Caenorhabditis elegans: one gene and its partner. The protein of the gene in region 1 interacts with the protein of each later gene in a pairwise test. Each region holds a gene or a part of one and is shown in the gene's direction. Other genes may lie near its edges.

Region 1 (14,788 bases):
TTTTATGTTCCCGTAGTATAATCATTTAAAAAAATTCAAATTCCATTTCTTTGCAGGGACTCATTCGCCACTTCCGACCAGAACTCGAACGCCGAATGGCCGAGTTCCACAAGCAAGTTTTGGCCGAGCAGGGAGCCAAGCAGATCAGTCAATGAAGGCCGTTTTAGTGTTTGTAGCGCTGACTTTTTAATACCTATTACTTTTTTTTTCATTGTATTTTTCATTTTTCGGCTCGATTTCGTCTCCTCCCCATTTTTTTAGATGTTCTATAGTAAAAGAATGAATGAAACGAATAAAATTTATATATGGTTGGTTGCCTAGTTGTGTTGCTAGGAGCTGCTCGGAAGCCGGCTCGCATTTTCAACTTGACTCCAGCTTCAGCTTCACGTTATGGTTGGTTTCTTTATTTTAAATTCAATAGTTATATTATTATTTCCAGATTCCATTCACCTCTGCTCTCTTCGCACTTCGTTGTCATGTCATTGACCTTCTGCCAACTGGACTGATGTTTCTTGGGATCTCATATGCTCTTGTCATCCGTGCAATGTTCACATCAGTCGTAGACAACTCTTCGGATAATTCCACCTTGTCCGTAGAAGATCTGACCTACAATCTGTTCAATATTTAAATTTTTCAACCTCGCTGAATGAATGAGGTTTTATTGTTTGACATGAATGAAAATTGAACAGAATTATAGAATAACACAGAGGAGGGCGAGAGGTATTTTTGGGCGAAACAAATAGAAACGAAGAACCCGCGTAGGTCTCAGGGGGGAGCCGACGATAGTTGATTCGAGGGAAGAGGGGAGAGGGAGAAAATACACGAATGGAAATGGAATTCTACAGGTAATATATGAAGGTTCACATTATATTGAAAGGGCACTGGGTGTTATCTAGATGCAAAATTTTACGATTTTTGCGCCAAAAATACGGTAAGAGGTCTCGAAAAGACAAATTTCGATAATTTTTCAGTTTTTACCTCACTAGTCAATCTGTTAAAATTTGAGTGTTTCTAAAAAAAATTCCGAGACCTGGAACCATATTTTTTTAGCCAAAAATTCGAAATAATTCTCATCTGGATAAATTAAAAGCAATAGCTGAAACTAGACGAGACTACACACTAATGGAATCTATTCTGTTAGAGGTGAAGACTGGTCCACTCTTTTCTCGTCATCTGATCGTACATGTAGTTGTCGAATTTCGTGTGATCTTCTACGACGACGTGAGCATCGCGAACGTTATTGTCATCCTTCAGTGAACAATTTGAGGCAAAGTTATGCCCGAGGTGATGGTATAATGAAGATCGACGATCCTCGAAGGCGCTCGTTGGGTCCAATCTGAAAAGAAACTCGTTAAAAAATATATTAATTTGTCTTCAAATATTATACGGACGCGAGAATTTGCGGCAGGTCTTCTTGACACGACAAGTTTTCTGATAAATTCGAGAAAGTGTGTGCCTTTAAAGACTGCTGTTTTATCGATTTGTCATAGTTTTTCTTGAATAAAAATACTCTTTAAAGGCACACACACCTTTTCGCATTTAACAAATTTGTCGTGGCGAGACCAGGTATCATGTAATAAAATAAAGCGAGATTTTCAAAGCTTTGATTTTCCGGAGAAAACATCAATTTTTAAATTGTTTTTTTTTTCGCATCCATGTAATATTGCCGTAATTACTAACAAATCCTTGACTCCTTCGAGAAATTCGACCTCTTCCCACAGAATATAGCTGGTATAATACTCTGTTATAGGCATATCCTTGACGGTGATGCACAACAAATTCATGAACATCGAGAATTGTTCTTGTGACGCCTTCGACATGTCCATTTTGACGAGATGCCGTTTCTCGAGCACGCGTCTCTGCAAAAAAAACGTTGGATTAATTTGGTGAGAGCACCCAGAAGCTGAGAGTGCATGACGGCTGGATATGCAATGTGCTGCTGCTCTAAACGCCTCATTTTTGCTAGTTTTTTTGTGCGAAACTTGCCATTTTTCTTCCTTCTTTTCAGTCGTTCATCGCAAAAATTGTCAGTATTTCAGACTTTTCTGTTCAGAAAAAAAGTCAAGATGCGAAAATTCGACACTTTTAGGGTCGCAGATGGGTCTCACCGCGATCCAAAAGTTTTTGGTAGTATTTTTATGGTACTTTTGGAGTCCGATCCGTTTTTTTTGCATTTTGAAAGGATTTTTGAGCAAATTTCTGTTTTTCTGTGATTTTCAGATTTTTAATTAATATTTTTGAAAAGGAAAATTACAAATAACAGTTTTTCAGTAGCGAGATCACAGCCAGGGAAGTCGTTTAAAAAAAATGTGTTGCTCTAGTTGGTATGATGAAAAAAAAATTGTTTCTTTTTTTTTTGGTTTTGGAGATATTCAGTTTTTTGTTTTTAGTCCAAATAATTTTTTTTGGCAGATATTTTAAAAATGTGGTTTTAAATTTTTTTAAATGGTTTTTTAAAAGTTAAAACTAAACCAAAATCGACATTATTATTTCGGTTTTTTTATCTCAATTTTTAATTTTTAGTTTTTTGATCCAAAAAATTTCGAGATCCATTCGAATAACCATAAGTTTGTTTCTCAGAAAATTTGAATTTTTCTACATAGTTTTGTGTTTTTCTCCGTATTATTTCTCACATACACCCCTTTTTTTCAATTTCCAGACCACAAAATAATTGGAATTTTTTTTGAGAAAAAGGAGAGCAGGGGAGCACACGAGAGACATATATCTCTAATTGTTATTGTCGTAGTCGTCTCGATTTTCAGCGCCGCAGACAGACGAGTAGGCGACGACGAAAACAAGGCAAAAATGGAGGCAAAAAGGATATATCCGCCCAGAGAACTGGAGTGAATCATGTATTTTTTGTGTTATTTTGTGAAAAATTATTTCTTTTGTGACTAGAGGGCAATTTTCAAAAAAAAAATGAAACGAAACTTCTAAAAAAGCCATAAATTTAAAACCAAACAATGACGATTAGGGGATATCCCTGGATAGTTTCCGGGCTCTAATCCAGGCGAGCACACAATTCATTGCTAACCTTTGCTTCTTCGGCTGGATTGGCTATCGCTGAGAACATGCAAGTTAGCAGGATAAAAGTGGTGGCCGGTAATCGCATAACTCCAGCATCGACTGAAAATTTGAAATTTGCAATTTTTCATGAAAAATTATAATTATTTTTGTTGGTAAGCAAAGAAAAGAGAATGAATTTTTATGAATTAATGAAAACAATTTTTTAAAAAGCCACAGGATTTTTAAATGAATGAATAATAACCGATTACAGAGGAACTGAAAAAAAACTGAAAATGAGTGTCTGTCTGAGCTTCTGACACTGCTTCTTCCCTCTCTATGCCTCCCCCGGCAGCAAAACAACTTGAAAAACAACAGCTGATTTGGCATTGGAGCGTCTATGCAACCGTATCGAGTCTCTGCGTCTCTCACTCTCGCTACGAATGTTCCAAAAAGGCCGCCGTGAAGAAAAATGAGAGAGAGAAGGTTCGTGTTGAGAGACGGAAGAGAGGGCAGAGAGAGTGGTTTCAATGGAAATTTATGATTTTGTTGGAGAATTTTCTTTAGTGAATAGTAAAATATCACGAAAAAATCTAAAGATACTTGGAAAATCTGAAAGCAATTTCTATTACAGAGTCGCGAAATTTTTAATTTTTGCGCCCGGCCTCGACACGGCAATTTTCGTCAGATACAAACAAGTGTGCGCCTTTAAAGAGTACTGTAACTTCAATTGTTGTGGAATTTTCATCGATTTTTCGTTAAAAATATTAAAACTTAAATAAAAAATAATGAAAATTCGATGAAAATTCCGCAACATGTGAAGCTACTCTTTAAAGGCGCACACCTGTTCATATTTAACAAAAAACATTTCGTGTCGAGACCGGGCGTCGTGTTTTTAAAAATTAGCACTCACCACGCATTTTTTGCATCAATTTCAGAATATTTGAGATTTCCAAAAGCTACAGTGAAATATGAATACAACAAATATTACACAAAAAGAGATCTGAATGGGGTGAGAGCAACGAGAAAGACTGTCAAATCTCCAATTAGGGGCTGAAAACGAAAACAAAATTCTGAGTCGGGGCGGGCAGACGTGATATTATGTTGTTGAATTCTATAGGGAAGGAATCTACGTTACTAGGTCTCGAAGCGACCGGAAATTTTATAGAAAAGCTACGAAAAAGGGGTTGCGCCTTTAAAAAGTATTCCATTCAAGTCTCACTTTTTTGTTTCAGAAAATTATTCGATCTGCGAATTGTGGAAGGATATTCGTAGCAACTACAGTACTCCTTAAAGGCGCACACGCTTCATGCCTGCTCTACAATAAACATTTTCTATCGTGTCGAGACCGGCTACCGTATTCTTTTGTAGGAATTGAAACAATTTCGCATCTTGGCATCTGCAAAGGACTGGAAAAAATGTTTTAAAAACCAAAAATTTGCAGAAAATAGGTCATTATTTAATTACGTCAAAACGCGTTGTTCTGAAACTGAAAAAAATTAATCTGGAAAATTAAAAAGCTGACGTGACCTTAGATTTGAAAAGAAAATGATATGCATAAAACGTGGGACCTGTGGAAAACACGATGACGAACGAACCTTTGAAATCAAAGAAAAAACACATTATTTCGAGTTAGTCTAACAATTTCCTGTACGATTTTACAATTTTCCCGACGAGCAAATGCCTCGGAAGCGTTCTAGATCCGAAAACTACGAGGATCACATTGCGATTCATCATACGCTTCAACCAGTGACGTTCATTGAGGAAGAGGTAATTTGAAATTCTATGAGACTTTTTTTTTTTAAATCTCAATCTCATAATTTTCAGTTAATTCTGGTGTGGCGATTCCCAGTGGACATATCCCAATCTTCTATCGGTGGACGGACAACTTTATCAAATGCCTGTACCCTCATTGCTCTGAAAATTGCCGAGCTCGTCCATATTCATGACATCAAAATGCCAATACCGTATCCAACTCGAAATGATCGTGTGGCGGCCGGTGCTGAGAGGACGCAGCGGAAACATTATATTCGTAGCTCTGCAGATGAGACGGTTGTGGATAACAATGGTTTTGAAACTGTAAGACTTTTTAGATTAAGCTTAATTATTGGATTATAAATTTCTTAATTTCAGACTTGCCCACCGCGACTTATTGGTTGTCTGATTAATGGGATTGTGGATGGAAATGACACTTATTCAAAGCACGCTGGTGACGAATCTACGAGAAATTACAACTTGCCAGATGCAATCAAAGCATGTGATCTTAGTTTTTCGGAAGTTGATTTCAAACTAACTACTGGATCAATCAAAGAATCTCTACCAAAACTAATCAAGATGGCTGTTCGGCAGTAGGTTCAAAATTTCAAATTCTATAAATTTCCGGCATTTTTCAGTCCATTATTTCAATCGGAAAGTCGCCTTGTCTTCATCATGATGAGCTGTGTTCGAACAGTTTCGATTATTTTCGATAGAAATCAGGACACGCTAACTCTATTCGACGCACACCAGCATTACTGGCCAGATAATAAAAGTAATATTTTATAGTTAAGCTTAATAGACCAATTAAATATAATTTTCAGAAACTTATAAGCACGGCGCTCTCATTGGTACTTGTAGCTACAGTAACTTGCACTCATTTGCAAAATGGATAGAAAATTTTGTGTATCCGGATGTCGCCGACCATGTTAATGTGAGGATCTACATTTTTTTTCACCTGTCATTACAAAATTTCAGGCATTTGAAATTTCGCTGATAAGAATTACGGAAGCCGGCACTAACAAAGCTCAAGGTGTATGTAAATATCCGGATAATAAATTCACAACGATCCGAACGCCAGTTTTCCAGGCTATGAATTTGCAGGAGGACAAAGAAAGTAAGTTTGATAGTGATTAAACGAAATTCAACAAAAACTAGATTGCAGATCTGAAATTGTCGGACCATCCAGTTCTCCTCGGCATTCTCTCCAAACCCCCAATCGTAAAATGTGGAGTAAAACGACGACACGACTCAGAAAATGGGGAAAACGAATTTACAATAAAATTAAAGAAGGTATTGAAACACAGCAGTTAAACATAATTTTAATTTCTTTTCAGAAATCGCCTAAAACGACTTCTGAGCGGACTTAATTACAACTTGGAAGATTCTCAACAATGTGCCATCGAGTTTTATGTGATATACAGTTTTTCTCTAGTATTTAGAATAAAAGTTTTTAATAAATTCATTTTGTTAAAGAACTAGAAGGAAAATAGGCAAAAGAAAATGCAAAAACAAAAAAGAAAAAATAAAGAAAACTCCAATTGCTCGTCATATGTGATGCGTTACAGTAATATCTGTGCGGCACGCAGACGCAACATTGCACAGCGCGGGAAAATTTGTTGTTGACAATTTAAGTTTATACTCCCAAAAAATTGTTTTTTCTCTTTTCAAATGAAAGTTTTGCTGAAGTATTGTGTTTATTTTTGTTTAATTAAAAGTTTTTAAGCGGCGGCAGTGTTAATAAGTGATTCAAGCTGGAATTATCAACTGAAATCAACCAAAAAATCGGCCTGTCGGTCTGTTCTAGCGGTAGAATTCTAAAAACATCATGAATACAGTTTATATGTTTGTTTAAAAACATTTATTGATAAACCTTTTCGAAACGTACTAATTCCCGCCGTATGGCCGGTTTTTAGTGGACTAGGCAACGCTCGGTTTCTAGGCTCTCCCGCGCTATTATACTCATTTGAATTTATCCGCTTTTTATTGAATTTTGAATATATATCGAATAGTATTTATTTTCAGATATTAACAAATCAGAAAATGGACACTGAAAACATCGCCGACGCCTCTGATATTCGTGTGAAGGATGCTTCAGGAGATTCAGATGAAAAAGGAAACGGGACTACTACAGAAGAAGAGACTGTCGAGCAGAAGTAAACTTTTGCTGCAGAATATCATCAATAAAATCACTTTTCGTATTCCAGAGAGAAGCGTCTCGCCGAGTTGCTTGCAGCTGGACGCCGTGCGTTGAAAGTTAACGATATCGACAAAGCATCGGATTCGTTGAGTGAGGCTACTGAACTGAGCTCCGAAATTTATGGAGAAAACCATGAAAACACGTTCGATTCTCTTTACTATTATGGCATGGCCACACTGGAATTGGCGAAGGAGGAGAGCCAACTTCTGAAAGGTCCAGGTGAGAAGGAAAGCGGAGATGAGGAGCAAGCTGGAAATTCTGATGACAAGACTGACGAAGAGAATGGAGAAACGGAGAAGGAGGACGGAGAGGAATCCGGTGAAGAAGAGGACGATGATGATGATACCATGAAATTATCATGGGAAATTCTTGAGGTTTCTTATTTTATTCAATGATTTTATGCTTAATTGTGATTATTTTCAGACAGCTCGTTGTATTGCCGCTGCCAAAATCGAAGCTCTAGAAGCTGAGCAGAGTGGAATCAGTGCCATTGAGGAATGGAACCTGAAACTCGCTGATGTACTGGTTCTCCTCGGCGAGCACGGAATATCAGATGGAAAGTATACTCAGGCTTTTGAGGACTTGGATCGTGCCCTCAACATTCAGCGCAATGTTCTTCCACCGTCGTCGAGAAAAATCGCCCAAACCTACATTCTCATCGGAAACGCGTGTGCTAGCGATGCGAATTACGATGAAACCGTTCAGTACTTCGGCAAAACCAAGGACGTACTCATCGCCAGGCAGACTGAGTTGAAGCATGAGCTGGAAAGAGGTGTTGATGATAAGGAAAAGAAGTCTGAATTTGAGAATGAGCTGAAGGAGCTTGAAGAGATGATGCCAGGCGTTGAAGAAATGATTGCTGATGCTGTGCACTCTGCAGCACAAGTTGAGGAAACTAAGAAGGCCATTAAAGCGCAATTCGAAGGATTCACACAAGTATTGGCAAAACTTCCACAAGAAGCCGGTGATCAGAAGGAAGCAAATGATATTTCTAGCTTGGTACGGTTTGAATTAACTTCCCGTAGACTTTTTAAATATTCAATTAACAAATTTCCAGGTTCGTCGTCCAGCAAAACGAGCAGTGGATGCTCCAACTGACAATCAAGCAGTGAAGAAAGAAAAGGAGGAGGAAGGAACAACTTCGATCTGAATATTGATAACCTGTAATTCTAAATATTTCATCATGATCTGACCTACTGAACTACTGATAATGTATCAATTAACATTTTATCTGTTATCCGAATTTAAGGATTCTAAAGTAAAACTTGTTCTGTATATATATATTCGCCATATATTCGTTTTTATAATTTGTTTCAAATCTTTTTCATACTTCCAAAATAATTTTACTATTTAAAACAGGATTTTCAGCTTCATTCAAATTCGAATTATACTTGTATGAGTGAAGAATTTGATGATTGCCATTGGAAAAATATGATCTCTGCTAATAAACAGTTTGATATTCAGCTGGGAGATGAAATTGGAAAGGTAATTTTTTTTAGATAATTAACAATTTAAAAAAAGTAAACTTAAATTTTCAGGATTTCTTCACCCAGGATACAGTGGTCTGCGCGTTTCGAAACAAGGAGAAGACCACGGATTTTGTCTTCACATCGGGTCCAATTATTCTCATTTGTGATGGAACGACGCGACGGAAGATGATTAAACGACGGTTCAAAATGGAGTTTGATATCAAAAAAGTGTTCTTCCACTCGTTCATTGTGACTCGAAACGCTGAAAAGTTGGCAACTGAGAATTGTGGTGGACCTGATACGAAGCATCGGGATTATTTGGTTGTGTGCGGTGAGCATAAGCTCCAGTTCATATCGCTTCCCGACTATCATTTCTATCACTATGAAATTCCTTTTAAGGTGAGAATTTAGTTTGAAATTCTGATAATTTCAAATATTTCCAGCTTCGCAACGTGTTCTCCTGCTCGACAAGTCTTCTGGTCGAACGGTTCTACGATTCATCCAGCGAACAAACCTTCCACCATCACGACACATTTCACCTCTACTCGCTATCCGGTCCATTCGGCGAGCTTCTCCCGGTTATCTACAAGACAAGCGGCTACCATCCACAATGGAAATTCTGTTGGCAATCGCATCGAGACGAGGCTGGACTCGTTGACGCTCAGCAAAATTACGTTGTTGTCTATGATCAGAAGGAGAAGACGCATCGGATTTATATGGCACGAGAGACACAAGAACAGGAAGTTCACGCAGCGATTCGATACGTTGAAGCACTCAGAAGACCGTCTGATTCAACAATGTTCGCGTCGAGTTTGGCGCCGAATTCTGCCGGCAGAACTACGCATTTTGATCCGACACTCAACTCTCCCGCCGGTAATTTTTGAAAACTTGAGCTTTTGGATAAATATATTATTCGTATTGTATCAGACATTCAAATCGTCAATATTTAGTTAATTTACAGTGATTTAAGTTAAAAACCAAAAAAACCTCGTTTCGAACAGGAAATAATTCGATTTTCCCCAAAAACTACTAAAAAAATCAAATGTTAAATTAGAAAGAGTTGTGATTAAAAACTAAAAAATAAATATTTTCAATTATGATATAGTGTGGAAGTCCGAGTTAATTTATATTCAACAAAAAATCATAATTATTTTCCAGAAAATGTGCTCTCCGAAGTGATCAGCTCGGAAATTGATAGCCGCTCACCGTTCACTCCTCATCTGCGATCCGGTTTTGGACATTCTACTCCAAACAACCCGAACGCTCCAGGCTACCCTGCAACACTTCCAACACCGAATTTTGAAGGTAATTTTTTTTTTTAATTCATAAAAATTTATTAGCACCATTAACCTCAAGTCGTGGGCGATCGTGCACGATGATGATGATCAAAATTTAAAAGTGTTATGCTTCGCCGTTGCTGATGCGCTCGTCCTGGCACTCGATTCTGTTTGACTTGATCTTCGAGGGGGCTCAATTGAGACGTCAACTTGAGCAGTTGAATGTCGCAATTATTTAGAAGAATTGACGGGTTGTTGGGAGAAGACATACGGCGGTTTCTGAAAATACGTGAAGTGAGAATTATAGCTGATGTCCGTCAAATTGTTACATACCGTAGTGCTGTGAAGTCTTGGCTATTCCTTTGAAGAGCTCCACCCGCGCGGAACATACTTCTTCGTCGATATGGAGTAATTGGAGATGATGGCTGAGTTGTTGTAGTCGTCGAGTTGCTCTCTGTTGAGCCAAGAAGAGCACACATTGGAGCTAGATTTGAGTAAATTAGAATATGAATTTAGCCAACAGAAACCAACAACAAAAAAACTATAAAACGAAAAGCACACGGCACACAGCAAACCTAGAAGTTAGTGTATTTATTGTTATATATATATATATATATACGTGGTGAGAAGGAAAGTGTAGAAGCGAACAAAATCAACTGAAGAATATCGAGAAAACTATCTAAGTGATCTACGAGGTGGTGGTGGGCGGTGTTTAGATGATGGTGAGCTACGACACGAATGTGAATGATGAACTTGAGACGCACCGATTGCCGGCGACATGTTCGGTTCGAGAAAATGGGAGGCGGATCGGGAACGTGATGAACGCATCGATGCCATTGAGATTATCGAGCTGGAATGTTTAGATTTTTTTGTGGAAGATATGGAAGAGCACTTACTTTGTAATGCTTAACCGAAGAGGTGTCTTTTCACTTGCACATCCCTCATATCCTCGTTTCATTGATTCGATTAACATGCAGGAAAACTGTCTCCAAGACTCACAAACTTCTTCTTCTTCACTTTTCTCCGCTGCCCTAGACCTTATTCTCAATATTCGCCGAATTCTGAAAACCAGTTGATTTCCCACCCGTGATGTAAATTGTCAAAAAGTTACTTGCTATCCTCTGTGACAACCCGCATGTACATTTTGCTCATGGCGATCGGAAGTTGTTGGGCAAACGGAGCCCAAAAGCAGTTGTCATTTCCCTCATTCATATAATGTCTATAAACATTTTTGTGAGTGTTGTCCCACCCACGCATATGACTAACCGATGGCGTGCTCCGAGACGGAAGGAAAGCGTCTTGATCATTTCTGGATCACATTTGTGAACTTTGATGAGTATGTTGAGAAAGTCACGAACTTGATTGATGATGTTGAGAAATTGAGCATTTTCCTTATAGGTAGCGTGCATAGTCTCTGGTAGATCAACAAGAGCCCATACCCATGTGGGTGTTAACTCGGCGGATTTGAGCCAAGCCTCACTGAAAACAATTGCTTTTCAGGAACAGTCTGAAAAAAGAGCTCACCTAATGGCATCACTCAGAAGCTGTGGATCGTGCGAGTTTATTGTATTCCACGTATGTACTACATGTTTTCGATGTGTAGATAGTTGACGAGCAGACTGATTGCCCATTTTGTTGCATAGTCCGGAAGATCTCTGATACACTGAAAATGAGCTTCATCATTAAGTATCTCATCTATCCTAACTGAGCCAATCGTAAAAGAACAGAATGAATCAAAGAATGGATTTTCTCTTTTCTATCTGTTTATAGCAACGGAAGCTTCAAAGAGAGTAGAAAGAGCACACAGTTGTTTAGCATGCTCTTTTCGCGAAGGTGAATAATGAATAATTATGGGTATTCGAATATGTTATGATGAGCTCACGAGGACGTAACATTATTCAAAGAAATAGCTGAAGAAGTTGTTTTTCAGACATTCTCGTCGAAGATGCAATTTTCACAGAAAAAAATTGAGAAAGGAAGTGCGTCGATCTTCTCAAAGATGATTATATAAAGAGAAGAAGGTCACTCATGTGATAGGAGGTTCAAAACAATGAAAATGCAGAGCCGATTTCTTTTTAAAATCGAGTAAAACTTGGAGCGGCCGCCCGACTTAACTAATAGCGTCCGGAATATGATAAATGGGGCGGCGTCTTGGTGCTTCAGCATTGCAAGATGAGACCAGCAGCAGATGTAAAAACAAAATACGTCCTCGACTAAATAAGAAAAATGATTGACAACGACGTCCGATGTGTTCTGGCAGCTATAAGGAAGAAAAAAGACGTGGGAGGGGAAGGAGGAGTCGAATTGCACACGATATTCTGAATTTCGTTCTGAAATTCGTCTCGAATGTGAACAAAAGTTCTACGATGAGAAAATCAAATTAGATTCGGGGGTGTCACCGCGACTGAACTCTGATTGACGAGAGAGCCTATTGACTAGAGAAGGAGATCTGTGAATGTGAAATTTGAAATCGAAACAATTTGATTATCTTCTCTTCTACGTCAAAAAGGCGTCCGATAGGCGTGAGAAGCACTCATGAAAATTGGAGAGGGAGACCCCCTTTTTCAAAAAAACTGAATTAGACTTTTGAATGAAACGGATATCAGATGAAGCTTTGAAACTTTTCGTGGACTAACTCTATAGAGATCTACAACGAGATTATTAGAGCAACAAGGCCTGATCTTGAAAACGGAGCTCTAAAGGAGCTCCAAACTAGATCAACCTAGCTGCTGCTGCTGCAAGAAATAGAGTCACACTTCCGGGCTGGAAATAGCAAAACTGGAAGAGTCGAGCAATTTGTTGTGTGGCGCCTCATATTCCACGTAAGGCCTGTTGAACATTGCCGCCGCCGAGTGTGCACACCGACAAAAGAGACTTTGTGTTGCTGCACATGTGAAATTGTAGATATGTATAGCCCTGAGGGCGTAAATCACATTTGCATTCGGTGCTCTTTTCGTTGTCGTCGCATCGCCAAAAGAATCTCTCTTTTAGAAGAACAAGGCGTGTACAGGAAAGACACAGAGATTAGTGTGAGCCATTGAAAGAAAAAAAGAGTTTGCTTCTGTTTTCATCCTCCTCTAGGCTCAGTCGCTGACCAGTAAATTTGTGTGTGTGTGTGCCAGATGAACCCGTGAATAGGTGATGAGGCCAATGAAGGCACAAAAATAAAAATGAGGAAGAATGAGAAAGTATGTACTTTTTTTTATTTCAGGCAACAATGACTCTCAAATATGGGCAACTACTCCGAATACGCCACGAGTTATTGCGAGAGGAGGTCTCGAACGGAATATACATACTAGGTACAGTTAATGAGAAATTTCGTTAAAGAAGGAGCACCTCGAAGGAAAAGAAAATTTCGGAAAAAAACCTGAATTTGCGAAGATCTAAAATATCGCCGAATTTTCTTCGATGCAGCAGCTGGAATATAGTTTTTTTACTAAGTTATCACTTTTCTTTGCATGTTTTGGTAATTTAATTCGCTTTAATTCCTTGATTTAAGCATAATTTAAGTCGCTAGAGCATCCAAAAATGACCGAAATTGGATGCCTATTGGCATAAATATATCCAAATCGACGAATTAACACAAGATAAATGACAAAAGTATGAAACTTGTTCGTCTAATGACGCCAAAAAACCAAAAAAAAAAATTTCGGTTGTTTTTGGGCCTATTTTAAGTTGTTTTTAGGGAAAAACCCACAAACTCTACCCATCTTTTTTTTTTTGAAGAAAAAATAACAAAAAGTAATAATATCGAATATAATCGAATATTCTTCTATTTCCAGAACACTCGCCAGAATGGTCAATGAGGATGCACCAGGAACAAGCACACCGGCTGCTCAGTCTAGACTCCAGACAACTGCTTCACCATTCCATCGAACTCATCTCACACAAATGTGCCGTCGCGGGGACACCAATGCATCGTTGCTTCGGGACTTTACCAGAATGATACGCGATACGCCAAGGAACTTCTCGAAGAATACACAGCATGGAAATGATCGTGATTTTGGAGATCTTGAACGAGATCCTGATGTTGATCTACTCTTGTCGAAAGTGTGTCTGGAATGTGTTTATGTGGAACCGAAGGAAGGAGCAATACCGAAAGCCAACAAGATCTTCATCTCGAATTTCTTGTCAGATATGTACATTAATTTGGTCTCAGTCACCGGAGAAGTTATGAAGATCATCCCAATATGGAAGAATGCGGAGACTACACGAAAAAATCTATTGGAGAAGGGAAAACACGAGCCGTGTGTTGTAGACTGTGTGGATGCGGCATTTGTTATGAAGAGTGGGATTACTGTAGTTCTTGGTTCGGATTTCACGACGGCAATGTTTGGAGGCAATGAACGGATTGCTCCGATTTTTATCAAAGAGGTAGCGATTTGAAGGAGGAGTAGCAGAGTTATCACGGCTGTTGCATAAAAAAATTTCGACCAAAAAATCGAATTTATCAAAAAAAAAAAAACCAAAAAGAAACAATAAAAAAATCAACTTTTGATTTTAAACGGGAGAAAACTCATATTTTTCAACGAAAAAAAGATTTTTGCTTTTCTTTTTTATGTTTTGCTGAATTAGTGTTGTAATTATTGTCAAAAACCCAGTTCCCAAAAAAAAATTACAGCCCTGCATGAAAAAAAAGAAAATTGCGAAAAACCAAATTGAATTTATTTTGAAAAAATCTTGAATATATTTTTTAAAAAAACTAAAAAAGTGAGAATTTTTTGGTTTTGTTGCTCTAGAAAACCAAAAAAATTAATTTTTCGCTACAATACCAGAAAACCAGAAAAGTTCCAGTGATGTCGAAAAACAAAAAAAATTACATTTTCCCCTTTTCCTGAAAAAAAAAATTCACGGTTTTTTTAAAGCATTATTCGGCTTTTTTCTATATCGTCTATCAATATTACATGCTGATGACGAGAGACGCAGAGAAAATCCTAGAAAAATAATTTTAAAAAATATTTAAATTTTGCAGATGAGCAATCAACGCGTTGGTCGAAAATTCCGCCTGTTCAGTTTTGCTGAAAATCGAATTTTTGCTGTCAATGAGATGCGATGCATCGTTGTCGAAATCCCCGAGACTGTCA
Region 2 (16,906 bases), on another chromosome or scaffold:
AAGTACAGGATGCTGTAACATGATCCCCCAAAACTTCATGTCCTCACAGCAGTCCCCAATCGTAGTTTAAAGATCCGACTCGATCCGAAACCGTTTGCTTTTCGATAGCGCATGTGGACACGGGTCACTCGTACCGAACACTTTTTCGTTTTTCATCGCATGTCACGGCGAGAGCTGTCAAAACGGAGGAAGACACGATGAGACGACGCGAACGAGAAAAGGGAAGCATTTTTTGACAAGCTCTTTTCTCATCCTAGACAGTTTGCTAGATTAGGGCTCATACTCAACAGTCGATGCTAATAACAATGCGACTTGTTATTCCATTTGCTTTAATTCTAACGTCAGTGGGATTTGCTGACGGGTTTATATGGCTACCATTTGTAAGTCAATGTTTTCTTCCATTTTTGCAAAACTGTATAAATGAAATTAAGGCTAATCTGGGATCAATGTTTGAAACCTTGAAACAAACTGCGTTTCATGAAAAATTGGATTTCAACGAGCCAGACTCCCAGTATTCATTTTTGGAATTTGGTACTTCTAACTGACTTTTTTTGACGTTTTTTTAATCTCTCAGGTTCAGGAAAAGACTTGTTCAATAACATCGGTCAATACCTTTCATCGGCAATTGGGAATGAGGATAAGTTGACAATAGCCACGAATTTAAGAGAGCTTTTCAATCTAACAACATCAACTCCACTACCAAAAACGCCGAAAAGATTTCGCCCGAAAATAATACCAGTTGATAAGCCCGAGACAACAAGCAAGCCAACTCCAAGACCAATGCCCACTGTTTTCACATTTCCTTACACTACGCCACATTTTACTACAAGCACACCAGTCCCTGAAGTTACATCAACCTATGATCCCAGACCACGATTTAGATATACAACCACTACCGAACCGCAGATTATCAAATTCGTGAAGACAACAAAACCTACAACTACCACTGAAGACACTACCACAGAAGACGGTGAGAAACTGTTAGAGTGTGGGGGAATGAGTTCCAAAACTATTCTAGAATAAGTCTAAAAATTTAGTATTAAATCCTGTTGAGTTTGCACGCAGCGACACACTTTTTGGGGTTCTATCTATGGGGCTCTCTATTAATTCTTAACAGTTTTTACGTTTTGAATTTTAACGATCAACAGGATTTAGTACTAAATTTTCATATGCAAAAACTTCAGAAATTTCGGACAGAATTTTATTTCAGATTGAAATATCAGGTGTGCACAACAAAATAAAGTTATTGGATTTTTCCTAAACTTTCCTCCCTCCAATATTTCAAAACTTTCAGACATCATAAGATTTACAACAACGACTGAAAGAGTCAGATATGCTACATTTTCACCAAACATTCCCATGACCACCTCTACAACTCCAACAACTACAACTTCAACTTTTCCAACCTCAACAACTGAAAAATCTACGACAGCTCAACCTTCAACGACAACGAAACCAACTACAACATCTCCACCAACAACTCAAGTGAAGACTATCTTGCCAGCTACAGAAGCACAAAAAATTTTCACAAAGCCTCAATATCAAATCTGGCCTACCACAACCCGCCCAATGACAAGTACCTCGCAGGCTGTAATAAGGTGGGGTACATTATTCACGATAGGTAACTAGGTAACAATAGGTAATAGGTAACTAATGGAAAAGTTATACTTTTTGCACCTTTATATGGTAGTTATAGGAAACTGTAAGTTACCTACGTACATTTAATTGTGAGCATCCATATCCGAGCTGTTCTAATATACTTTACACTCAAAATTATAATTTTTTGTAAAAAAAAAAATTCCAATTTGATTGTGAATGCTATAAAGTTGTATGTTAAAATTATTTTTCACAAAACAATTAGGCTGGTATTACCTATTTAAAGCAACTAATTGTGTTCATAACTTAAATTGTCGAAAAAGGTGGATTTTGTCCACTGTTTGATTTTTCTGACATATTTTGTTTTCAAATTTATTAGTGTTTATTTTTATTTTTATTGGAACCAGACTATGCTGAAAAGCACGAAGGAGGCACGTAGGCAGACTAGAAGTTTCGGTTAGGTATTGTGGATAGGTTGATTAGACACGTAAGCGGACAAGCATGACGTAGGCACACAGGTAGGCAGGCAGAAACGTGGGCATGAAAGAGGTAGGTGCGTTAGTAGGCGTGAAACAACCATGTGATTTTGTGCGACTTACATAAGATTTGTCGGCACTTCCAAAATTCTTTCTCCAGCACAATATTATCAACTCCGTTTATCTGGAATTTTATAATGTGCCGCTTGTCGGTTTGCCGGAAAATTTGTTTTTTATTGAACGAATTCGACTGAAACAAAATACAAACGTGCATAAACACTAATTAATGTGGTTTGCAAACAAGAATAAAAAACGAACCAAAAATTAAACGATTGAAAAAATACTCTTTTTTGCCAATTTCAGGTAAGTACAGATTGAGTGGTAGAATCAAGCTAAAATTAATTTTTTGCAGAACCCAATTTTATCTGAAATAAAACTATATAACTAACAGATCAATCAAACGCCAATTGAAAAAATATCAAAAAACAAAAATTTCAGAAATTCTAATTTTTGAGTGCTTGGATATATGTGATATTGACTAAATATACATAACTTACAGTTTCCTATTTTTTATAAAAGTTTAAAAAAAAACAAAAAAAATTGACAAAACTTATTACTCACCCAATATGTTTCAGCTCAACCGAACAATTCATCCGTCCATCATCTATTATCCGGAACAATGTTTGGAAGAAAGTGACACCTTCTGTGACTCCTGAATATACAACTTCTGTGTTTTGGACTACCCCAATGTCAGTAACTGCAGAGCTTCCATCTGAGCCATCCACAATCACAATGTTGATCCCTACTCCACCAAGTGAATATCAGACTGTTTACAGCTCAACGGCTGGAATTCCGTTTATCATTAAAGTATGAAATCACCATTCTTTCATAGAATTAGAGAAACAATTCTGATTTTGTCTTCAGGCTAAAAAGTTCACACGCCCTCCAATTGTTGAAAAAATTGCGGTCACCTCTGCTCCCCACACCAATAAATATGACACATGTGGTAAGTACATCTTGCATTGTCTCTAATATGTGTACATAAATAATTTACAGTTGTATGTATATGATTTTAATTTCAGTTCCCGATCAAAGATGCTCCATCAAACTGAAAAGTTTTGAGACTTCTGATCCTTTATTCCAATACTGCTACAGTCACTCAACAATGATCGACAACTCCATTCAAGATTTGCTCAGGGTAAGGCAAAATTTAAAATTTTTATCCGTTACAATTTTTTCAGGACACCCAAACCGCTTCATCACTCCCACAACACATTTCTTGGCACAGTTCAGTGACCCCGGAAATTGTGCAACTAGTTCAAACTTTAATGTCACTTTATAGACCTTCAAGATGTTTAGTAATTGGTGAGTATATTTCATGTATGTTACTTGGAGAATAGATCAAAATTTTATTTTTCTATGAGGGGCTTAAGCAAGTCACGAGTCAAAATTCATAATGTTTTTCGCTGTTTACCGATTTTTCTGATATTATGCAGGTTAATGTTGTGCCATGAAGCCATGATTTTTCATTTCACGGTGCTTTCCAAAAAAGATTTTCGACCAGGCTCAACTTTGAGTCACTTCACGTGGTGTGGCTCTTTTTAACGTACTTGTTATAATGAAAAATTGATTTGTATTGTTAAAATAAACGTTCAGGAGTATTCACTGGTCTTGGATTACTCGGTGTCGCCGAAAGAGTTGATTCTCGAGGAATTGTTGTCGCACTTGAGCATCCGGCCTATGCTGTTTTCTGGGATAAAATTGGGCAGAAGCACGCAAGAAAACTCACGGCTACGCAAATGTCCAGAATTCAAATGAGAACATCTGAAAGCATCGAAAAATCATTGCCTCGACTTGCAACAAATGAACCCAACACTTTCGATTTTGTGTTTCTGGATGATTTTAAGAGGGAAAACTATTTGGATGATTATGAACACGCAATTCGACTGATTCGAAGTGGTGGTCTTTTAATCATTAACCAGGTCCCTCATTTCTTAATTAGAAATAATAGTTTTACGTTTTGTTTTCTCTAGGCACTCAATGGTGGTGGAGTGATGTCATCGATTGATCACATGACCAACGATGACAGGGTCATTCGAAACATGAACATACGCATCAAACAAGACCCCCGGGTGAGAAATTTAACTTAAAAATTTTTGAGACAGTGAAAGGGGGAGTATCGGTTTTGGGTATTTTGAACGAATTTCAAAATGAAACTTCTGAAAAAATTTTCAAAATGTTTTATGGGGATTCAAAATTTAAAAGAAAATTGGGCTTGTTCTCTCAAAATTTGAGCAGTTTTCAGTGTCGCAGCGCTAGTTTTTGTGAAGTTTCAAAACTAAATTCGTTTGTTTGAGCACATTGTTGGTATATACGTTCAAAATACCCTGAACCAATATATTAAGATAACTAATTAAAAATCAGAAACTTTACATTTTTCAGGTTTCTGCTTCTCTACTTCCATATGGTGGCGGCACCTGGATTGTTACAAAGAATTGATATAAAATTTGAATTAACATTGTTTTGTATGTTTTTATTTGCATTAAAACTTCTCAATCGCCACGTGTAAAGTGGTGTTCTTGTCCTCAATCAATCCGGTTCATATGTGTTCATAATTTTGACAATGAAATTTTTTAAACCTTCATATTTTTTTATTTCCATAATGTTACTCTAAACGGTTAACCCAGTGTGCTAGAGGTAGAGTAGAATTTAAAAAAAAAAAGAGCTTTTATGAAAATCCAGAGCAATATCGCGTGTTCCAAACACTAGAATGTTTTAACAGAAATATTGAAAACAAAATTAAAGTATTAAAAAGCGTAGAAAAAACTTTTTTTGTCGGCTTCCAAATTTTGAGTTGCAAAAATAAGTAAATATATTTTAAATAAAACATTTAAACTTTTTTGAAAAGTTTTACAATACTATTCGCCTATTTTGGTTTTAATAGAGAAGTTTTAAACACGTTTTTCAATGCCGCTACTTCATCTTTAAAACATCTGTCTGCGAAGCCTTCGTTCTTTGTTTGAGGACAGGCGGACTAGAAAACCCATAGCATTAACTCTTCCATTTCGTTTTTGAGAGCGTCTCATATATATTTCAAGGTTATTATTTTTACAATATTTCTATTTACAAATACATTTTTATCGGTAATTCTTTTTTTGTTTTTTTCGAAAATAGTATTTTTTAATATATTTTTTAACTAAATGTTTATATCATATTTCGATTTAGTTCCACAAACCTAAATTATTTTATTTTCCAATCAAATGAATTGAAAAAATTATTTAAAATCCTGCAAAAACCAGTTAATCGATGAAACTCTGAAATTCAATGAAGAGACGCGATGCGGTCGCGCTGCGTACGCCTGTAATGTGCAGTGTTTTGGTGCGCGCGCGCGCATACTATCGACCCACTATTTCCCACGGTTCAGGCAATGGATGACCCAAATCAATGCACTATTAAACAGGAGGACTCCATAACGCGACCAAGACCTACAGAGGTGAGTTTCTGTTATTTTTTTTCTAATCTCAAAAATTCTTCCCAATTTCAGGCGCCAACGATACAAAATTTGAAACAAGAACCGGCGATTGAAGAAGGTTCATCCTCAACAATGGAGTAAGTTTTTTTTGTTTCTTTTTATAATATATGTAAAATCCGAAAAAATCATTTACTATATATAAAGCGCTTATTCTGTGTGTCCATAGTTTGTAGTCTATGTGGTCTTTGTAGTCTGTGAAGTTTTGGCTTCTGTAGGGATAGTGAGTTAGGGTTAGTGTAGGGATATAGTCGGGGTACTGTAGTGGTACAATTGTGGTACGGTAGGAATACTGTAGGGTGACGGTAGTTTCATAAAAAATCAATTTTCAGCCCCAGAAGTCGGGGGCCGCGCCGAAGGTGCGGTCCACGGCTGGTTAATCTATATTTGAATTTCGTAATGAAATTTCTCAAAATATTTTTATGTCGGTTCAAAAACAGCCAAACTAGCTGAAATCCTTAATTTTGTCAACTTGTTTTGTGTCGCAGAGGTCGGAAATTTTCTTTTTTGGAATTATAAAATTTTATTGCATATTTTGATAGTACTTTATTTTGTAAATTTGGGTACTTTTGAAGCCGATTGGTGACCAAAAATAACAAAAATTGATCACCTAACAGTTTTAAATGTACCAAACGACCAAATTGTCCAAAGGGATGTTAATTCAGAAAAGTGAACTTCCAACCGATCAGATACGGGAAGTGACCAAAATTTAAGGTTTTAGGTACGGCTAGGCCATTTTTTCCAAATTTCGAACCGCCATAATTGTGAAGATTTCATTACGAAAATCATTTGTTTGAGCACATATCGGGCCTATACGTTCAAAATATGCAGAAAAAATCATTTAATTAATTTAATTTTCAGTAATATGCTGATGCTTACTATCGACACCAACCAAGCAAATTGGCAAGGCACCTACGACGACGATGAGATGGATTTGAATAACAAGACCGATTTGATTCCATTACTTGAAACAGAGAAAACGACAATTAATGAGGACGAGCTCTATGACGACGAGGAGGACGATGACGACGATGAAGAGATCAAAAAGGGAATCGGTTTTGGTAATTTGAAACATCTAACTACAAGTTTTTACTAATAACGTGTGTTTTTTCAGAACTTCTAGCTCAAGCACTCGGAATGTCAGCAAAGGTTCCTGTTGAGAAAGAAGAGCCAGAGAAAGAACGTGCAAAGCTCAGTGGAGTCGGAGAATTTATGAAGCAAATTCGAGGAGAAATCAAGCCCATCCAGAAAGAGCGAATTGTTCTTGATGAGTTGGGATTTCGGGTCAGAGACCCTTCGAAGTTTCCTCCTTGCCGTATTGCTGAAGTTCAACAGACACTAACTCTAGCCGATCATCAGGATGGAATTGATCTTCCTCCACCGAATGCTCCAACGGATGTTCGGATTGTACGCAAGCTGATTCGACAGAAAATGGTTCGATGCAAAAAGTGCAAGAATCGATTTATCGAGAAGAACATTTATGAACGACATCTGCGCGACAAACATCCAGATCTCTACGAGGAATATATTCGTGAACAAGAAGAAGAAGTGGAGCTGCAACGGCTTGAAGAAATCGAAGCAAATCGCATTGAAGAGCTACAAACAGGAGGATTCATCCCGCCGGAAAACGAGATTTCTCAACCATCTGAGGATCCAAACTAGTAGGTTCAGCAGTTTTCCGTTTATTTTCTAAATTTCGTCATGCATTTTCAGTATTCCCCTTCCCGGAGAAAACAATGGCGGCCTGGTCCCACGTTTTGACTATTATGGAAGAATCAAGCAACTAAAGCGTCCGTACAAGAAAAAAGTGTCGCCGCAATGTCCGTTCTGTGATAAACGTTTTAGAAATGAGTTTTCCCTCAAGAAACATTTTGCAAAGAAGCACGAGGAGATGGTCGAGTTTCAGCAGTGTCTCAAATGTTTTAAATGTGTTGAAAATGATGCAGAGATGGCGAATCACGACTGTGAATTGGTAAGAAACAATACAAAAAACTCTAAAAATGTTACCTGGCCAATCAAAAAAAAATTTCCTTCTATTTTTTTAATATTTCAATTTTGTTTCAAATATTAATATTCAAACTTTGTAGGACTCTGATCATGCGACATTGCTATAGTTATCTCAAAAAGTGGCAAAATCTCAGTAATAGCTCCTGTTGGACTAGGGAAAAAAAAAATCAAAAAAGTGTTGTATTTGGCCATTTTGGCGCCAGGGGTTTCTAACAATTTCCCCACTGGCGCTACTTTAGTTTAAAACCCTCATTTATAACAAATAACAAATACACTTAAATTTCTTTATTTTAAAACTTATAATTGAATACTACATTCTGGATCTTTGTTCCAGTTCAAACTAAAGACAAGCTCTTAAATAATTAATATTTTCAGACTTATGTTTGCTTCGAATGTACTCCGATCAGAAATCTTTGCACCGACAATCGTCTCCTAAATCACCGAAAGAAGTTCCATCGTGGAGCGAACTCTGGTTTCCGCTGTTCGTTCTGTAACATGAAGTTCCTTACACCGCGTAAACTTCGGAAGCACAAGAAGATGTCCCATGTGTTCACAAAAACGTTCCAATGTCATTTTTGCGAGGAGATATTCATTAGTGAAGTTGCAGTGATGACCCATGAGAGAATGCATACGGGAATTATAAAGTTTGAATGCAAAGTTTGCGACTTTCGTGCAAACCGATACACTGCTATGGAGGTGAGCTTATTCTTTCACACATTAACTTCAAGTCAGCATTTGTCATAATAAAAAATCACATGGTAAAAATGACATTTGTTTTTTTTTGAAGGGGTGCTCTGAGATAGGATTAACATACATGTAAAAAAGAAGAAAAACAAAAAAGAAAAATCAATGTTATTACGGCGATGAAATCGAGGACTCACAATGAGATCAGATTATATCCTGGTGCCTGCCCTTTTGTCATGAATACCCTTATATGAACTTTTAATTATATTGATTCCAGGAACACAAGAGAGATGAGCATGGATATGTTTGCGCGATTTGTCACGAACGTCACGCGGAATACCCCGAGATGAAACATCACGTGTATGAAGAGCACGGAGGCTACCTGGCAGCAGATGAGCCGACAGGTATCACTGAAAAACGAATGACAGAATTTTTAAAATTGAATTTTAATTACAGCATACGTGGAGACTCCGCGGATGTGGATACTCTACAAAGGCGAGTGAAACTTCTTCATCATCACAGATCTTCATCAAAACTACCACACTTTCATTTGATACATTTTTTTTTCAATTTTTTGTTTGTTTTTGTTTCACTTCCCGATTATGTTAAAAAGGGTTTAATTTTGTCATTTAATGTTGATTGTACTATTACTGTAACACCTCTTACTTTTTTTCAGACCATGGACGTGTTTTAATGTTTTAATCTAGCGTGCTATCAATCATTCAACTTTATTCATGATATACACACAAATAAATCAGGTTACTATATGTAGATATTTTGAAATTTATGACATAGTTCACATTGAATTGCTGAACCTTTCGCTTTTTTGTTTTTTTTTTGCATTTTTGTTACCATGATAACTTACAGGAAATGCTCAGGTGGTAGGACGGTAGCAATCATGAGAAATACAAGTCCTGCCTCCCTTTAGGTTCCCACAACCTTAACGGAAAATATTGGCCACAGTCACTGGCTTGGACGTGGCTTAAAATAAAGCCTAGTGGGAGTACCACCGGGCAGTGTACTTGACTTTCAGATGCGCGGTGCATGGCGCTTCACGTGGTGTGTGGCTGTGCCATCAGGGTTTGATCTACAAAAAATGCGGGAATTTTTTGCCTTTAAAAATTTGACGAGAACTCTGCGTCTCACCTCCCGCATTTTTTGTAGATCTACATAAAGCAAACCAAAATGGGACAATCTAACACCACGTGGTGCTTGAAGAACGGATCAAACTTGAATCCTTCAATGTTTTTAATTTCAAGTATTTTTAATTGGAAAAGTTATAGTTCCATTGGCATTTTTTATTTTAGAGTCCTAACTATCAATCAACTTTTTTATAACATATACACATATAAGTCAAGTGACTATAATTTGAAATTTATTACAATGCTCATATACAAATGCTGAATGATTTTTATCATTATAAAAACTACGTGAATTAATTTGTTGGTGGTTTAAAAGTTTATTTTCTTGAACTTGCTCAAGCAGTGCGATCTCCGCCGCCCGGTTGAGCTCCTCAAGGCATTGTATGAGTCAGTGTGAGAGATCAGCAAGAAGCGACGAGAGTTCTTAACGGGACCCGGGCACGCGTGGAGAAAGAGAGAGACGCAAATCCGAGACATTGAGAAAAAGAGACAGTGGTCGCTGGACGGGTGCGTTTTTCCTGTGTATGTGTGTCTGTTTGTGTGTGTGTGCGTGTGTGCGGGCCCCCCGCTGCCTTAGTCCAAAGTGTGAGAGTGAGAGAGAGGATGGTGGGAGAAGATGGGAAAAAAGCGGCGCGGAAAATCGAGAAACACAGTGCGGGAAAGAAAGCGAATAGGAATTGTGTGCGAGCGCGCCATGGCGGTGAGCGTTATTGAGTGTATTGGAAGGCGAGCGTGAGAGAAGAAGAGACGCCGAGGCGGCGGCGGAGGCGGCGGCAATGAGCGTTAGTGAGTGAGTGGGTGAGTGAGAGCGTGTATGTATGTATATGTGCGTCTGGTGGTAAAACTCTATGCACTCTCTGTTTTAACTTACGACACTATCTTGTCGCATTCAGGCGCCGCCACACCAACACTGCAATGGCTGCGCCACGGCGGCGTATGGGCCTTGAAAAGGTGGGTGTTCTTCTCTCTGTTCCATTCTTTGTTCTCAATTTCCCTTCCCCACACACACAAAACACCCACACTTAATTGAATGGTGCCTAGTTAATTGACTTGTTCGGCGTGCGATTGCACTTTATTTTTTCTCCCCATTCATTTAAGGTCACACAATTTACATAAAATATGTATGTAAAAACATTGCGCAATCTACCGTGAGAAGGTGCGTTTTGTCGTTTTTGTTTCCCGCCATAGAACAGTCTTTTTCTGATTTTATCGTTTAATGCCCAAGCAAATTCCCACGCATCCGTTCGACAGTCGGCAATAAATCAACGAGCGCCGAGAGTTTAACGGCAGAACATAAAGATGGATGCTTGAGAGTTTTTCTTTTTTTTTCGTCCGACAAATTTTTGCACAGCATTTTTGACCGCTTTACGTCATGCAACGTTTTTAGCAAGAAGTTAAAAAAATAAAATAGATTAAAAGTGGAGTAGCGTCAGTTGTGAATTTAAAAAATTGCTATCTCACCACACCACAGTAATCAAATAACAGTTAAAAACATTTTTAAAAAAGTTGAATTTTATGATTTTTTGAAAATTGGAAAAAATCCCAGTTTTCGCCACTTTTTGGAAGTTGTCGATAAAAAAAGGTTTTTAACAAATTCTCCACTGGCGCTACTCCACCTTTAAAACAATGTTCCATAAAAAAACCTGCGTAGTTTTTTTTTTGGAAAAAAAATCATTACTTCCTTTCATGTTAGTTGGTTTCCGATGCGATTATGCAGTTGCATAAAAAATCTTTCCCACATTTTCTAAATTTAAGATTCTCCATTGCATTCGAATTACTATGGAAACAAAGTGCAGATAAACCGTAAAACGTAAAAAGTTTATTTTCTTAAAAATTCAAAATTTCCTTGACGAAGAGTGTTGCAATTTCGATTCTGCCAAAACACAACTTAAACCGATGTTATTGAACTTTCATTGATGGAAAATGTGGTAAAACAGCATATTACACAATCATTTCACGTAGCCAATTGATTTAATTCGAAGTGATAGTAGGACTGTTTGCATGATCAAAGTTTGACAAACTTGTATTCGAATAGATATTTTGCCTGACTAGCAACCCTTCAAATTGCGGTGGTGATGTTCATAATGATGGGAGAGAATGAGTCAAAATGTATTGTTGTCGATTATAATTGGATTTGGTTTTTTGTTCGTCAGTCTGCACGCGCTCCGCATATGGGGGTTAAGAGCAAAACGTGCGTCCGCCTGGTTGAACGATTCTCATTCACAAGAACAAATATTGCTAATATAGTGAATAGTGGAAAGTGTTTTGTACAGAAGGCGAAAAGAAGGAAAACAACTGAAACAGTACCATCATTATTATGTACAAAACAATTCGTTTCAGATAGGCCTGTATGATGTTGGTCGGGCAATTGGCAAAGGCAATTTTGCCACAGTTCGGATAGCGCGGCACAAGATTGCTAAGACTAAGGTTTGTCCGGTTTTATTTTTCAGGTTCAAAAAGTCATGAATCGTTTAGATATCATTGTAAAAGTTAAAAGAAAGGTTTTGAAACTTTACAGTTACAGTCAAAGATATGCTTGAAAGTTCATAAAAAACACTAAGCTTGTGAAAAAATCCCATTTTTTGAAAAGTTGTCAATTTGCATTAGACTTCAAGAAACTTCATTCTGATATAAATTTTTTTTTATCCAGTGCCGCTTTATTAATCTTAAAGTTTTTTATTGAGTGAGTATATAAATTCAAAAAAATTAGGTACTTGTGCAGAATACCTGGCCCAACATAATCAATCGTTTTGAACAATTTTAGAATTTTTTTCCGGAAATTTTTAACTATGAGACAATTTTTGAGCACTTTTTCGGTAGCTTCAAATTAATTAATAGCTATTTTCAGCTTAAAAAAATTTCTATATTTTATCACAAAGTTTAATGAAACAATATTTAGAGAGCATGCCACACTGGCTTTTTTTGTTGAATTTCCTATGTGCACTGTAAAATTCAAATACTCATTCCATGTACATTTCTGGAATGCTCACTCTTAATAATGCAGCAAAACATACAAATTGCAGGTGGCAATCAAGAGTATCGATGTGTCAGCGTTAGACCGAGAAAATCTGATAAAATTGGAACGAGAAGTGAAAATTGTAAAAGTGATCGATCACCCGCATATTGTTAAAAGTTATGAGGTGAGTTCATATTGTCAAATCCCTCATGTTATAGCTTTATTTTCAGATAATGAGGGTTGACAACATGTTGTACATTGTAAGCGAATACTGTAGCAGTGGAGAGTTATATGGTATAATTATGATGTGTATGGAAAAATTCGGCAAAGTTGTTTTTCCAGAGACACTGATAGAAAAGGGTCGGGTAGCGGAAAATGTTGCTCGGAAATGGTTTTCTGAAACTGCGTCCGCTGTTGCATATCTTCATTCGCAAGGAATTGTTCATCGAGATTTAAAAGCTGAAAACATTCTACTAGGCAAAAATTCGAACATTAAAATTATTGGTAAGAGATTATAGTTTGAAACCCACGAAAAGGAATGCTGAATTCTTATATTTTTTCAGATTTTGGGTTTTCAAATTTTCAAACCGGCGATCAACTTTTGAACACATGGTGCGGATCACCACCCTACGCCGCACCAGAATTGTTATTAGGTTTGTGAGAACTTTGCCATTTTTTCTCTTATTCCAAGCCAACGTTGCAGGTAACTCGTACGACGGCATGAAAGCTGATATCTGGTCCATGGGGGTGTTGCTATACATTCTCGTTGCCGGCGGATTTCCTTTCCCGAGTGATTCAGTGAACAAACTCAAGAGATCCGTTCTCTCTGGCCTGGTTAAGATTCCGTATTGGGTTTCTGTTGGTGAGCGGCTCTCTAGAATGTTTCCGCATAGAATGACGTCTTCATCTTCTTTTTTCCAGAGTGCGCGGACTTTATACGAAAAATGCTCGTGTTGAACCCTGGCAAAAGATACACAATCCAAAACGTTCTTCAACACAGATGGATGCACATCCGAGATGATGTGCAAAAAAATCAAGCGGCGCAACTCCTGGAAGCAATCCCATCAAGTTCTATAGAAATTCGACAGCAGTCCACAAAGTTGAATCCTACAATTATGATGTTCATGCAGCAGCATGGGAAATGGAGTGAAGAACAAATTATTGATGTGGGTTCTAACTAGGTGTTAAGCGTTTTGGCAGATTTCATAGCTTGTGGAAAGCTTGTCTCTCATTTGCCAAAAGCACACCGTCTTTTAATGAAAACGTTTCGGTTGAATAACTTTTCAAAAGAATGGCAACACAGTGCATAATGAGCGCCAGTGAAAAATGGCTTTAAAACACGTATCACAACAACAAAATATCCTAGATAATAAATTAAATAATATTTTCTAGAATTTAAATGATTTTTGAAAACCGAAAAATCATAGTTTTTGCCTAATTCAATTTAATCCTCCCGTCAAAATAATTTGCACGAGAGAGCGCGCTCGCACTTTTTAATTTTTCTCGGTGTTTTCTTATTTCCCACTGATTTTTTATGCTGTCACACGTGATGCCAGAGTGTCTCATTATGGTATGATCTACGTAAATCTGCAAAAATGCGGGAGTTAAAACGCAGAAGATTTAACTGATTTCGCATCGTTAAAAGCGTGCTGACGTCACATTTTTTGGGCAAAAAATTCCTGCATTTTTTTGTAGATCAAACCGTAATGGGACAGCCTGATAACACGTGTTTTCAGTGTAATTTCACATTGAATTTTGATTAAAAGTCAAGACAAATGCAAATTTTCGATTGAAAATCTGCTTTACTGTTGTTTTTTCCAATGAAAAATTTGCATTTATCCTTACTGTTTCTTCAAATTTCAAGTAAGAATAAACTGAAAACATGAAATAAATAAAAAAATGTGCAATTGCGCTCTATCGAGCAAATAATTTTGGAGGGAGGTTCACATTGAATTAGGCAAAACCTATTATTTTTCCATGTTTCGAAACATTATATAAAATTTGGAAATTTTTATTGAATTTTTCAACCATTATATTTAGCCATTCCCCCACTGGAACTACTTCAAGAATTTTCTAAATGATAGGCATCAATACACAAAATACCAAAACACGTTTATTTGCATCTACCAACCAGACGATGAATTCGTTATCACATACATATTTGTAAAAATGAAATTGTGATTTGGAATTGAACAGAAAATTTATAATATTATTTTATACAGTAAGGAAAGGAAACAAGTTGAGTTACCATATAAAATATTACTGAAAAAAATGCATAAATTATTAAATTTTTAGGCTGTTCTTGGACGAGACTTTGAAAGCCCAATTTTTGCGACCTACGAACTGTTGGCCGATAAAGTTAAAAAAGGAACATTAGAAGGTCTGAATAATCAAAAAATTTAATTAAAACAAATTTTCTTTATTTAGGAACTGGAGAAGAGTTTCCGCGACGTGGATCAAGAGGTTCAATTCTTAGTGGAAAAGCTAACGTTGACGAGCAACCACTGACGCCAACAATATCTGCCCATCAACTTGCCCAACTTAACCTTTCAAGCCCAGATTGTGTACGATATTTAACTAGTCTTTTTTTCTATATTGCCGAATGTAATTTCAGGACTCGGATGATTCTTCAAATTCTGATTTGTGCGATGATTCTCCGATGAGCTCGATGGGACCTATGAATCACGAGAGACAGTTTGGAACACCGCACGGGCTAGATATTATTGGAAATAGATTTGAAAATAGGTATGTGAATAAGTTTCTATAAAAAACTGGTGCTGAAAATACCAGTAACAGCAGTGTCTTGCAATAGACAATAAAATTTCCAAAAAAATAGCCAGTGGAGCATGTTATCTGGATATTTTTCCTAAAAAAAAATATATCAAAAAGTGTTTCGGTCAATTTTCAACTTTCAGACAATTTTCGAGCAGTTTTTCGATTGCTTTCACTAAGCGAATATTTTTCTAAATTGTATATTTTAATGAGAATTATTAAGAAAATATGCTCAATAGGGTTATTTTGTAGAACTACTGATTGGCATTTTCCGTCCACCAGTATTCACATTCGTTTTTTTTTAAATTTAAAGTTTGTCAGGTTTTGCTTTAATAGACTAAAAGACGACCTCTAATGGAACCTTTTATAAAATTCTTAAAAATTTTTGTGGCGAGCCAAATTAACTTTGATAAAATAGTTTGTTTTTGATAATATGGTATATTGTGAAAACTCATTTAATGAAATTCGGTAATTTTTAAGAAAATTTCAGTCTATTCAAGCAAAAAAAAAAACTGAGCCTTTAAAACTGCATACCAATTTAAAGCTGTGACAGTCTAACGGTTCAAAAAATCTCAAATCAGCTCACTTTGTGAAAAATTAAAAAAAAATGCTATGGTAATTTAGACTTTTTCCATTATTGCTAATGAAATGGATTTGCAATTATCACCTCGGATTATTACATCCTGTTTACTTTTTTCAGACGCCACACCTTGTGTGCAAGTGAGCAGCTTCTTTCGCCAAACATGATGGGACAGTTTCCACCACCAAACCTGTTACTAAACAACTTCTCAATGAATCCACCGCTAGGCTTTCCACCAATGCCAGAAGGACAAGCTGCCGAATTCCCACTTCCATCGTTGCACCCGGCATTTGCCACCATCCCAATTGCAGACTTATCAAAAATGCTACCAGTTCCAAAGAGTGAACGCCGAGCTTCCGCCGGTGAAACTCTTCTGCCAACTAACTTCGATTTGACACAACATCTCGCAAACTTGCCAGCTCCTCCAATCTCATTTCCGACAGTGGAAGAAGAAGGAAAGTCTTATCTGTCGAAATATGGTGGAAAACGAAATACTGTCCATTGCCTTGGTAATCAGTTGGGTGGAGGAATTCAAAATCCAATACCAAGGTATCAACGAACACCGTATACAAAAGCACCTCCGGCGGAACGAAGAAGCAGTTGGGCTTCACCGTCACTTTCTGCTCAGCAACAAAATCATTTGGAAAAACTTTTTAAGCAAGCTTTGCAAACGAATAATGATATGACTAGATTGCATAAAGAATTTAAAGGACTCTCTCACGGATGCGCACAATCTCAGTGAGTGATTAAGGTTCGGGAATGTTCTATCGATACATTTTTCAGAATTACAAATGAAGGCTCCTCATTAGCCTGTCCTCAAATATCCATAACTGATGAGTATAACCGGCAACACAACATTGCTCCATCTGCATCTTCTTTTGATCCAGTTAGCATATTCCAGAAAAATGTAATTGCTCTCGTTTAAAAAGAGCATTCGTATTATATTTATTCATGGTTTAGGCACAGGAAGTGGTTTTTGGACAACGACCTGCGACAGCAATTGGATTTTCATCTACATCATTCTCTGGAATGTCAACACCTGAACAGACGACAAGGAGCATAGATGACAGAGTGAGGGTAAGTAGCTTTTTCTGTAAGTCAACCCGGCACTAAATATCATAGCAAAAATTTTTTTAAAAATTTCTAAATTTTAAATGATTTTTT

The links.
Region 2: the proteins of nasp-1 (region 1) and tra-4 interact in a two-hybrid assay, tested with the Caenorhabditis elegans proteins (2 studies listed by BioGRID).

What each region holds. Positions count from the first base shown.
Region 1 is NC_003280.10:11,099,835-11,114,622, forward strand, and holds nasp-1 (Protein NASP homolog 1), read left to right. Parts: upstream 1-6,777; 5' UTR 6,778-6,801; coding exon 6,802-6,914; intron 6,915-6,965; coding exon 6,966-7,332; intron 7,333-7,381; coding exon 7,382-7,957; intron 7,958-8,015; coding exon 8,016-8,108; 3' UTR 8,109-8,236; downstream 8,237-14,788. Other genes in the region: nuo-1 (NADH dehydrogenase [ubiquinone] flavoprotein 1, mitochondrial), read left to right, coding at 57-155; C09H10.4 (uncharacterized protein), read left to right, coding at 391-393, 440-628; C09H10.5 (uncharacterized protein), read right to left, coding at 1,138-1,336, 1,681-1,859, 3,035-3,126, 3,917-3,923; C09H10.9 (YqaJ domain-containing protein), read left to right, coding at 4,684-4,773, 4,831-5,082, 5,137-5,351, 5,397-5,533, 5,583-5,692, 5,737-5,875, 5,924-6,051, 6,096-6,128; apc-1 (Anaphase-promoting complex subunit 1), read left to right, coding at 8,390-8,443, 8,497-8,826, 8,871-9,300, 9,586-9,732, 12,916-13,003, 13,487-14,078, 14,677-14,788; glb-4 (GLOBIN domain-containing protein), read right to left, coding at 9,779-9,983, 10,038-10,188, 10,469-10,554, 10,601-10,765, 10,816-10,923, 10,971-11,183, 11,229-11,335. UniProt on the Caenorhabditis elegans protein: Promotes normal hermaphrodite (XX) development, in concert with zinc finger protein tra-4 and histone deacetylase hda-1, perhaps as components of a complex. May act redundantly with nasp-2.
Region 2 is NC_003284.9:2,845,831-2,862,736, reverse strand, and holds tra-4 (Zinc finger protein tra-4), read left to right. Parts: upstream 1-5,491; 5' UTR 5,492-5,499; coding exon 5,500-5,565; intron 5,566-5,616; coding exon 5,617-5,681; intron 5,682-6,462; coding exon 6,463-6,662; intron 6,663-6,715; coding exon 6,716-7,262; intron 7,263-7,314; coding exon 7,315-7,573; intron 7,574-7,983; coding exon 7,984-8,304; intron 8,305-8,569; coding exon 8,570-8,696; intron 8,697-8,748; coding exon 8,749-8,795; 3' UTR 8,796-9,058; downstream 9,059-16,906. Other genes in the region: comt-1 (Catechol-O-MethylTransferase family), read left to right, coding at 306-380, 432-531, 581-970, 1,295-1,598, 2,708-2,939, 2,997-3,078, 3,155-3,270, 3,314-3,437 and 3 more; Serine/threonine-protein kinase kin-29, read left to right, coding at 10,350-10,385, 11,775-11,861, 12,458-12,574, 12,621-12,684, 12,733-12,894, 12,954-13,043, 13,094-13,252, 13,312-13,556 and 6 more. UniProt on the Caenorhabditis elegans protein: Probable transcription factor. Promotes normal hermaphrodite (XX) development, in concert with histone deacetylase hda-1 and nasp-1, perhaps as components of a complex.